2 linked regions of the Drosophila melanogaster genome follow. The protein of the gene in region 1 interacts with the protein of each later gene in a pairwise test. Each region holds a gene or a part of one and is shown in the gene's direction. Other genes may lie near its edges.

Region 1 (2,923 bases):
AGTGATTTTATTCATATTCAACGACATTTGAGTCAAGTTTGCTGTTTAGCAACCACCTTTTTGTGGCTGAGTCTTCCGCGGTTTCTTGGTGGTGTTCTTCTTGCCTGAATCACACGCCTTTGGCTTTGGCTTAGATGTGGCTTTCGATGCGGCTTTCGGTTTCGGGTCGGATTTACACTTGGGTGCAGGCTTGCACGAAGCTTGAGACTTCGATTTGGAATCGGGGCACTTCGGTGTTAGCAGGTCCTTCAAAATACATCCGCTTCCTCCACCGCCCGATTCGTTTTTCGATCCACAGCCACATCCCGATTCTGGTGTCGTTCCTGGACGGTTATGATGATGTACTATCTTTTTGGTGGATTTCGATCGCTTGGTTCTTTTTGTGCGGTGTCGCTTGATGCGTTTCGTGCAGTGCTTTTCACTGGGTGGCTCAGTTTTGCATGTGGGTGGCTCAGTTCTGCATGTGGGTGGCTCAGCTTTGCATGTGGGTGGCTCAGTTCTGCATGTGGGTGGCTCAGTTTTGCATGTGGGTGGCTCAGTTCTGCATGTGGGTGGCTCAGTTCTGCATGTGGGTGGCTCAGTTTTGCATGTGGGTGGCTCAGTTCTGCATGTGGGTGGCTCAGTTTTGCATGTGGCTGGCTCAGTTCTGCATGTGGGTGGCTCAGTTTTGCATGTGGGTGGCTCAGTTCTGCATGTGGGTGGCTCAGTTTTGCATGTGGGTGGCTCAGTTTTGCATGTGGGTGGCGTGGTTTCGCATCTTGGTGGTTCGGTTTCGCATCTTGGCGGTTCGGTTTCGCATCTCGGTGGTTCGGTTTCGCATCTCGGTGGTTCAGTTTTACAGCATGTAGAACCTGACGGGGCAAGTGCAGCCAGCCCCACCAATAACACAACCAACAACTCCAAGCGCATCTTGACTTTGGAATTCAATACCGCGTGATGCGCTTTATATACCCACTGCATTTTGCCATCGACACATCGAACAATTTAAGATACACTCAACAAAAAAATAACAATTTCTACGGTTTAAAATGAAGAAACTAAAAGTAAGCGATATACAAATATAATTCAGCTAAGGGTATGCTGAATCATGATAAACTTGTTGAAATTGTTTGCGCATTGTAATTAAAGCCCATTTGTTTAATGATTTTAATATTAAATTCAATATATATGGAATCAAAAATTATTATTAATATGTTCGTGAAGTGTAGGACAGTGCGGGTGCCTCGAACTTGTCTTTCACAAATATTTACAGAATAGAAAGGTATGTTTTCCATTTTTGGACCGGCGGGTTGGCTTAAACCAACTTATCTCGAGCACCAGCTTTAGTTTACTTAACCGCAGCTGTTGCAGTCTTCCATATTGATCGTGGTTTTGTTTATTATTTTGTTTATTATTTATTTATTTTTTTTTGACTGAATCGAGTTGTGGAAAAATTGCGTGTACTAGTTGTGTGAGCAAATCAAATAGTTTTGCTCAAATCGTTTACTAAGGTAAACAAATTTTATTACTTGTGGCGATGGTTAGACATAGACAAGACTCAACTAGGATCATTCCAGTTACCCTGTCATTTGCCAATTAGATACACATTTTTCCAACCAATTGCCGTCATCGCGGAGACCAATCACCAGCTCTATTGTTTTCAACCATTTTTTTTTTGTTCTGAGAGATTTGATATTTGACTTAATTTTGGCCTTCGCTTGGGTAAATAAAACGTGGTCTGGAGCTTTTACTATAAATTGCGACATAGCATTATCGGATCCCTCAGAGTCAAATAGAATATAGTGTCGAAATGAAGTTGACAAAGTTATGGTTGCTTTTTGTGTGCCTGGGGCTTTTCGTTACCCTGGTTGTGAGTGCCGATACGGACTCGGATGCCGATTCGGATTCATCCGCCGATTCGGATTCATCCGCCGATTCCGATGAGAATACAACCGCATCCGGATCGATAGTAACCTCAACCACGGAGTCCAGTGCCACGAACAGTTCCGGTTCCTCAGATGATGCTTCTGGCAGTAGTTCCGATGTGGACGATGGTTCCGATGATGATACTGATTCTGGATCCGATACGGATTATGATACACCTACTACAGCTCCAGTTGTTAAAAAGAGGGCCAATAGGAAGAAGGCTAACAATAACAAGAAGAGAGCTAGCAACAATAGGAAGAAGGCCAACAATAACAACAACAACAAGAAGAGGGCCAACAGCAACAACAATCGCAAAAGGAGGGCGTCCAACAACAACAATAAAAAGAAGGCATCCAACAACAACAACAGGCGCAGGAACAACAATTCCAGGAGGCGTGGTTAGAGCGAAAATGGTTGAAACAACAACTACATGTGGACTATATGCATAATAAATATTTTTTTTGTTCATGATTCAATAATTGATTGGTGCATTGGTCTGATTCGAAAACACACACACGAAAAACACTGTATTTTTTTTTTGGTGATCGAAAAAATTCCGAGGAAACCCCATTCGGTTGAAATTAACAAATGCAATCTGCATGACCAATTCGTGTGGGTAAACACGAAAAATTTGAGACAAAAAATGCTGATGACTATTTAAAGACTATGCTCTCACATATTAAAGAGATACATACATTTGAAGTGTAACAATACAGGCATTATTTCCAATGGACAAGCACTTTTCAACAAAAGCAGACATAACAAAACCAAAACAAATATGTGTTACACTCTAAACGAGAACAATAGGTGCCCATCGACGAGCTTCAATTTGAAATCACAAAATATTATGGACACAATGCACATTGAATGTGCTGCAAACTAGGCAACAATATTTTTACAACAATGTGCTGTGTGTAGTGGTGTGGTGTGGTGTGCGTTGGTGTGCGTTGGTGTGGAGGAAAATGCCTGTCAAAATCTCAACAGGTGTCGATGACTTATCGATGGCTGGCTTTCAAGC
Region 2 (4,934 bases), on another chromosome or scaffold:
CTTCAGGGTCTGCGGTATTCAAAATGTGTTCGAGATGTCCTTCTTATTCCCAACTCGATCGGTTCTTCCTCTTGCCATCGCGTGAGTGGCGGAACTTGCGGCGTCTGTTCGACTTTTGGGTCTTCTTCTTGTAGTGGACAACGGTAGACTTCTTCTTTGGTTTCTTGGTGGTGGGAGTCACGGTGGTGCTGCTTCCGGTTGCCGAAGGCGAAGTGGTGGACGTGTCTGTATCAGTGGTCGGAATAGTGACCGAAGGAATAGTGACCGATGGAATAGTGACCGATGAAACAGTGACCGTGGCGGGATCAATCGTCAGTGCCCAGGCAGTCGAAACGAAAGCCGCGATGGCAAGGAAGATAGTTGGCTGCGAACGCATCTCTAATGGATTCTTTAGGTGTTGAATCTAATGTGCTCTTGTTTAGCTGAAGCCTAAGTATTTATAGGGAAATTAGTGGAAGAGGTTTTCTTTGTTTGCGTAAGCTAACAGTTTATTTGTGCGTGCTAAGTCGCAATTCACCATGTGGAAGTTTTTTGGATCTAGGTTATTTATACAAAGGTTGTAGCTAATTTGTATTGGTTTTTCATAAAAAAAATTAGAAACCTTATTCCATATGCGACTTAAACTTTAACCAAATAATGGGGCCTTTGTTCTTCCAACAAATGTTTGGCTAATAACAATATAAATTTTGAATTCTTCTTCCAGAATCTTCCCCGTCGGGAAGTCCCAAGAAGCAGCGTCGTCCCCTGTCGCTGGTTAGCGAAGGAAAGCCACTGCCTGCCATCGCAGAAATAACCGAGCTGGTCTCGTTGAGCGACAACTCGCCGAGGACCTTTAAGTTGGCTCCATTCGGATTGGCGGCCAAGAACAACAATGCGCTTGGGGAGGAGTACAAGATCGATCCGCAGCTGATCAAAAAGGCTGAGGATCTGCTGGGCAAGGCTAGCCTGGACAACACGGATCTGACGATTACCAGTCTGAATTTTATCGACGAGCAGCAGCAACAACAGCAGCAGCAGCAAAATGGACGCAAGTTGCAGGAGTGCTTCAAGCGGATGCAGTCGCCCAAGGAGGAGCAGAAGGTACTACCTGTTTAGTGCTAGCTAGCTAATTCGATTGCTTTGCCTAATCTTCGATTCTTTCCACTTACAGAGCAAGACGAACTCCATTGGCACGGACTTGGAAACCGGATCGACCAAAGCCACAAATAACAACCTTCAAGTGGTGGAGAGCGGCGGCAGCCTTGATCTTATGATCAGTTCCACTTTATCGCCCAATTCCAGCAAGGTTCCTCTGATCGAGAGCAAGGAGGCGCTGAATGAGCAGGAGGAGGAGCTGAAACGAACGACGGGCGGTGGACGAAGAACCAGTGGCGCCGAGGAGACTCCGGAGATTTCAATGCTCTTCTCGTTTCTGCAGATCCTGACAGCCACATTTGGCAGTTTTGCGCACGGCGGCAATGATGTGAGCAACGCCATCGGCCCACTGATTGCCCTCTATATGATCTATCGCGAGGGATCGGTTATGCAGCAGGCCGAGAGTCCCATCTATATTCTGATCTACGGCGGCATCGGCATCTCTGTGGGTCTCTGGCTGTGGGGACGACGAGTCATCGAGACCATTGGCAATGACCTTACGAAAATAACCTCATCGACGTGAGTATTCAGTTCCTAATTTCCCTTATCCTTTCACAAATAGAACATTCACTTTCAACTATTTTTCAGTGGCTTTACTATTGAAGTCGGAGCTGCCATCACCGTACTGCTGGCCAGCAAAATTGGCCTGCCCATTTCGACTACTCACTGCAAGGTCGGTTCGGTGGTTTTTGTGGGTCATGTGAGTGCATCAGGTCGCAAGAAGAAGAGTCAGCCGAATGATCAGACCGATAAGGAGACCCATAACGAAGTTGCGCCCATGGATGATGGCAGTGTCGATTGGCATCTATTCCGGAATATTGCCTATGCATGGATCGTAACGGTGCCGGTTACGGCGCTCCTCAGCGCCGGAATGATGTACGTGCTGTGTGCCATCGCCGTGGACGACATGGGTGGGGCCTAAAGATGGAACAGAGATTGCCATTCAATTATTAATTGTAATTGCAAAACCAAAATAATGTTTCGTAATTGTACAAGTTGGAAAACACAAAACTTAAATATTAAACACGCAAAAGGAAACTCAAGAAAAAGTGGTAAAATCTTAACTAAATTACTCGCCTAACTAAAGCATTGTATTTAGCTCATAGAACGTCTCTGAGTCTAACTGATATTAATATTATTTAATATGTGTGTACGCCAAGCAAAGCCGTGATTTGATTTTATATCTATACACCTCGATTTGATTAGTTTATACCCGAACTTCACATTACTTAAAATGCATTTGAGACTCATTTGTAAAGTTAGTCCCAACCACTCAAGTTATTTTACACCAATTAATAGATCAGAGCAAAACATTTGAATAAAATACAAACTATGTGCAACAGAAAATGTTTATACGTTGTGGTAAGACCAATTTTTATTTTATATTATCTTTTTTTTTCGTGTCAATTTAAATTGCCGTCTTTATTTACAATTCGTACACTTGGTTCCAAGTTCGGTTCGTAACAATTCAAAACCTTATGTATAAGGCTCTCCAGTCCGATTTAAATTTACATTCCATTGAGAGTCAGTTCGTAAAGTATTTCACTATGTAGTTATACGGAAAATAAATACGAAGTTATGACACAAAAAAAAATCTTTTATTTCAATACTTTGGCTACCCACCCAACTTACATCCGTTTCTCTAAGAAATTAGTATTTTAAAAATAAATGAATGGCGTATAATTAAGTGAGCCTCTGTATAAATAGCCTAATTATACATTGCGAAAATGTGGTATTGATCTCTGTTTAAGCAACCCAAATTTACTAAAACATCACATTCCGATTCGATTTAAAACGACTGTTTGCTGTTTGCTTAGGGAAAACATATATGAGATCTTCCTCTTGATTTGGCTATATATACGCCAGCTTCGCCCAGAAAGAAGCACATCAGTCATAGCAGTCTAAAACATTGTTCAAGATGCGATCCCAGCTAACTATCTTCCTTGCCATCGCGGCTTTCGTTTCGACTGCCTGGGCACTGACTTCTCCCGCCACGGTCACTGTTTCATCGGTCACTGTTTCATCGGTCACTATTCCATCGGTCACTATTCCTTCGGTCACTATTCCGACCACTGATACAGACACGTCCACCACTTCGCCTTCGGCAACCGGAAGCAGCACCACCGTGACTCCCACCACCAAGAAACCAAAGAAGAAGGCTACCGTTGTCCACTACAAGAAGAAGACCCACAAGTCGAACCGACGCCGCAAGTTCCGCCACTCACGTGATGGAAAGAGGAAGAACCGATCGAGTTGGGAATAAGAAGGACATCTCGTTTGGAACACCGCAGACCCTGAAGATCTACATGAACGACCCACACGCACCTTGTTAATCCTAATGTTACTTTACTCTTATTAAGTTCGCAATATTTAAATAAAAACATATTTAAAATTTTTTGTTTAATTATTGGGTTTTGTTTTTTACAAACTATGCTTTCAAAAACTAAACAAGCATTAATTCCATATAAATACCATGCAGAAAACGATATAAAGCTAACTGATGGACTTATACTTAGAGGATTACTTAGTAATATGTGGAGTAGACTAATAGTTATGGTTCAATAGTTATTCTTGATTATTGTCATAAGTTTGCACTTTTGCAAAATGGCTTTTGAGAACTATATGCACATGTTTAACGTGGCGGATGAGTAATATTATTTCTTAGTACTTGTATATTTGGAATTAAACATTTTTTAGTCCACATACCATTGGGTCGGTGAAAGTCTGAAAAACACAACACTTAAGTAAATATTTAACTTTAAGATTGTTGTTAAAGATAAAACATAGTATTTCGGCTTATAGCTCGCTATAACTTCGGGCCAGAAAGATGTCAACTTTTTGGCTTAATCGAAATGGTCAAGAAAGCCCAACAAAAGTTTTGTTCCATGTGAAAAAGCTTTGGTGGGAAAGCTTTTGAGCGCGTGGCGCTCGAAGAAAACGGTAGCCGCAACTTGGAATCAGTTGAGTTTTAAGCTTCGATGCGTTCGGTTCGCTATTCCCGATACGGCGTGATTCTAAACAAAACAAAAAAAAAACCCGGTTTGGTTCACTCTAAACTCGTAACGATCCCAAAAATTCGACATTCGGAGTGCTAAGTGCTCGGATTTTTGAACCAAAACATAATTGTGAGAATTGAGAAACTTGCTTAGTGTCATTTTTGGATTTACACATTCGGATTTGTACTGAACACACATTTCTGGCGATTAAAAGGTAATGGTTTTGACTTTACTGACCTATCTATCCAACTATTCTATATCTATATTGTAATAACTGGGTGGGCGTGCAACTTCCGTTCAATATCCGGCCCACCTTTCTATTTGCCACTTTTCTATGAACACCACTTGCAGTTCAATGGATTTCCACTAGTACAAGTATTACTTAATTTCTTTGCTTAATCCGATTTGCGTGCATTGAACTTTTCATCTGGGGGTTTTTTTTTCCCTGTTGATGTTGTAGTCGCTGTTATTGTTTTTTATCTTTCGTTTTTTTTTTTGTGTTAGACTTTATTTTGCACCAACTTCTTGTGGTTGATTGTTTTTTTTTTTTTTTTGTTTCTCCATCTCAGTCTGGCGAGCCGAACGGCTTGTTCTCATTTTATTTAATGAGTTCCCCGGTATTTGAGCCTTTGTTTTGCATTGTTCGAAACCCTGTTTATTCAATAGGTTTAAAACGTTTCAGCCATTCAAGCCAAAGCGAAATTATTAGCAAGTGTATTTGACTTTAATGCGGCATTCTGAATGAAATGTTTGGTAGCCAAATTGTGTGTATTTAGGTTTTTGTAGTTTCTACACAGCACAATT

Evidence for each region. The genes of interacting proteins can lie anywhere in the genome.
Region 2: the proteins of Pig1 (region 1) and CG14143 interact in a two-hybrid assay, tested with the Drosophila melanogaster proteins (one large-scale study listed by BioGRID).

The regions. Positions count from the first base shown.
Region 1 is NC_004354.4:3,248,100-3,251,022, reverse strand, and holds Pig1 (Pre-intermoult gene 1), read left to right. Parts: upstream 1-1,733; 5' UTR 1,734-1,789; coding exon 1,790-2,308; 3' UTR 2,309-2,423; downstream 2,424-2,923. Other genes in the region: Sgs4 (salivary gland secretion 4), read right to left, coding at 46-909.
Region 2 is NT_037436.4:11,131,945-11,136,878, forward strand, and holds CG14143 (uncharacterized protein), read left to right. Parts: upstream 1-3,042; 5' UTR 3,043-3,052; coding exon 3,053-3,397; 3' UTR 3,398-3,536; downstream 3,537-4,934. Other genes in the region: NaPi-III (Na[+]-dependent inorganic phosphate cotransporter type III), read left to right, coding at 704-1,080, 1,151-1,653, 1,723-2,056; CG32074 (uncharacterized protein), read right to left, coding at 44-376.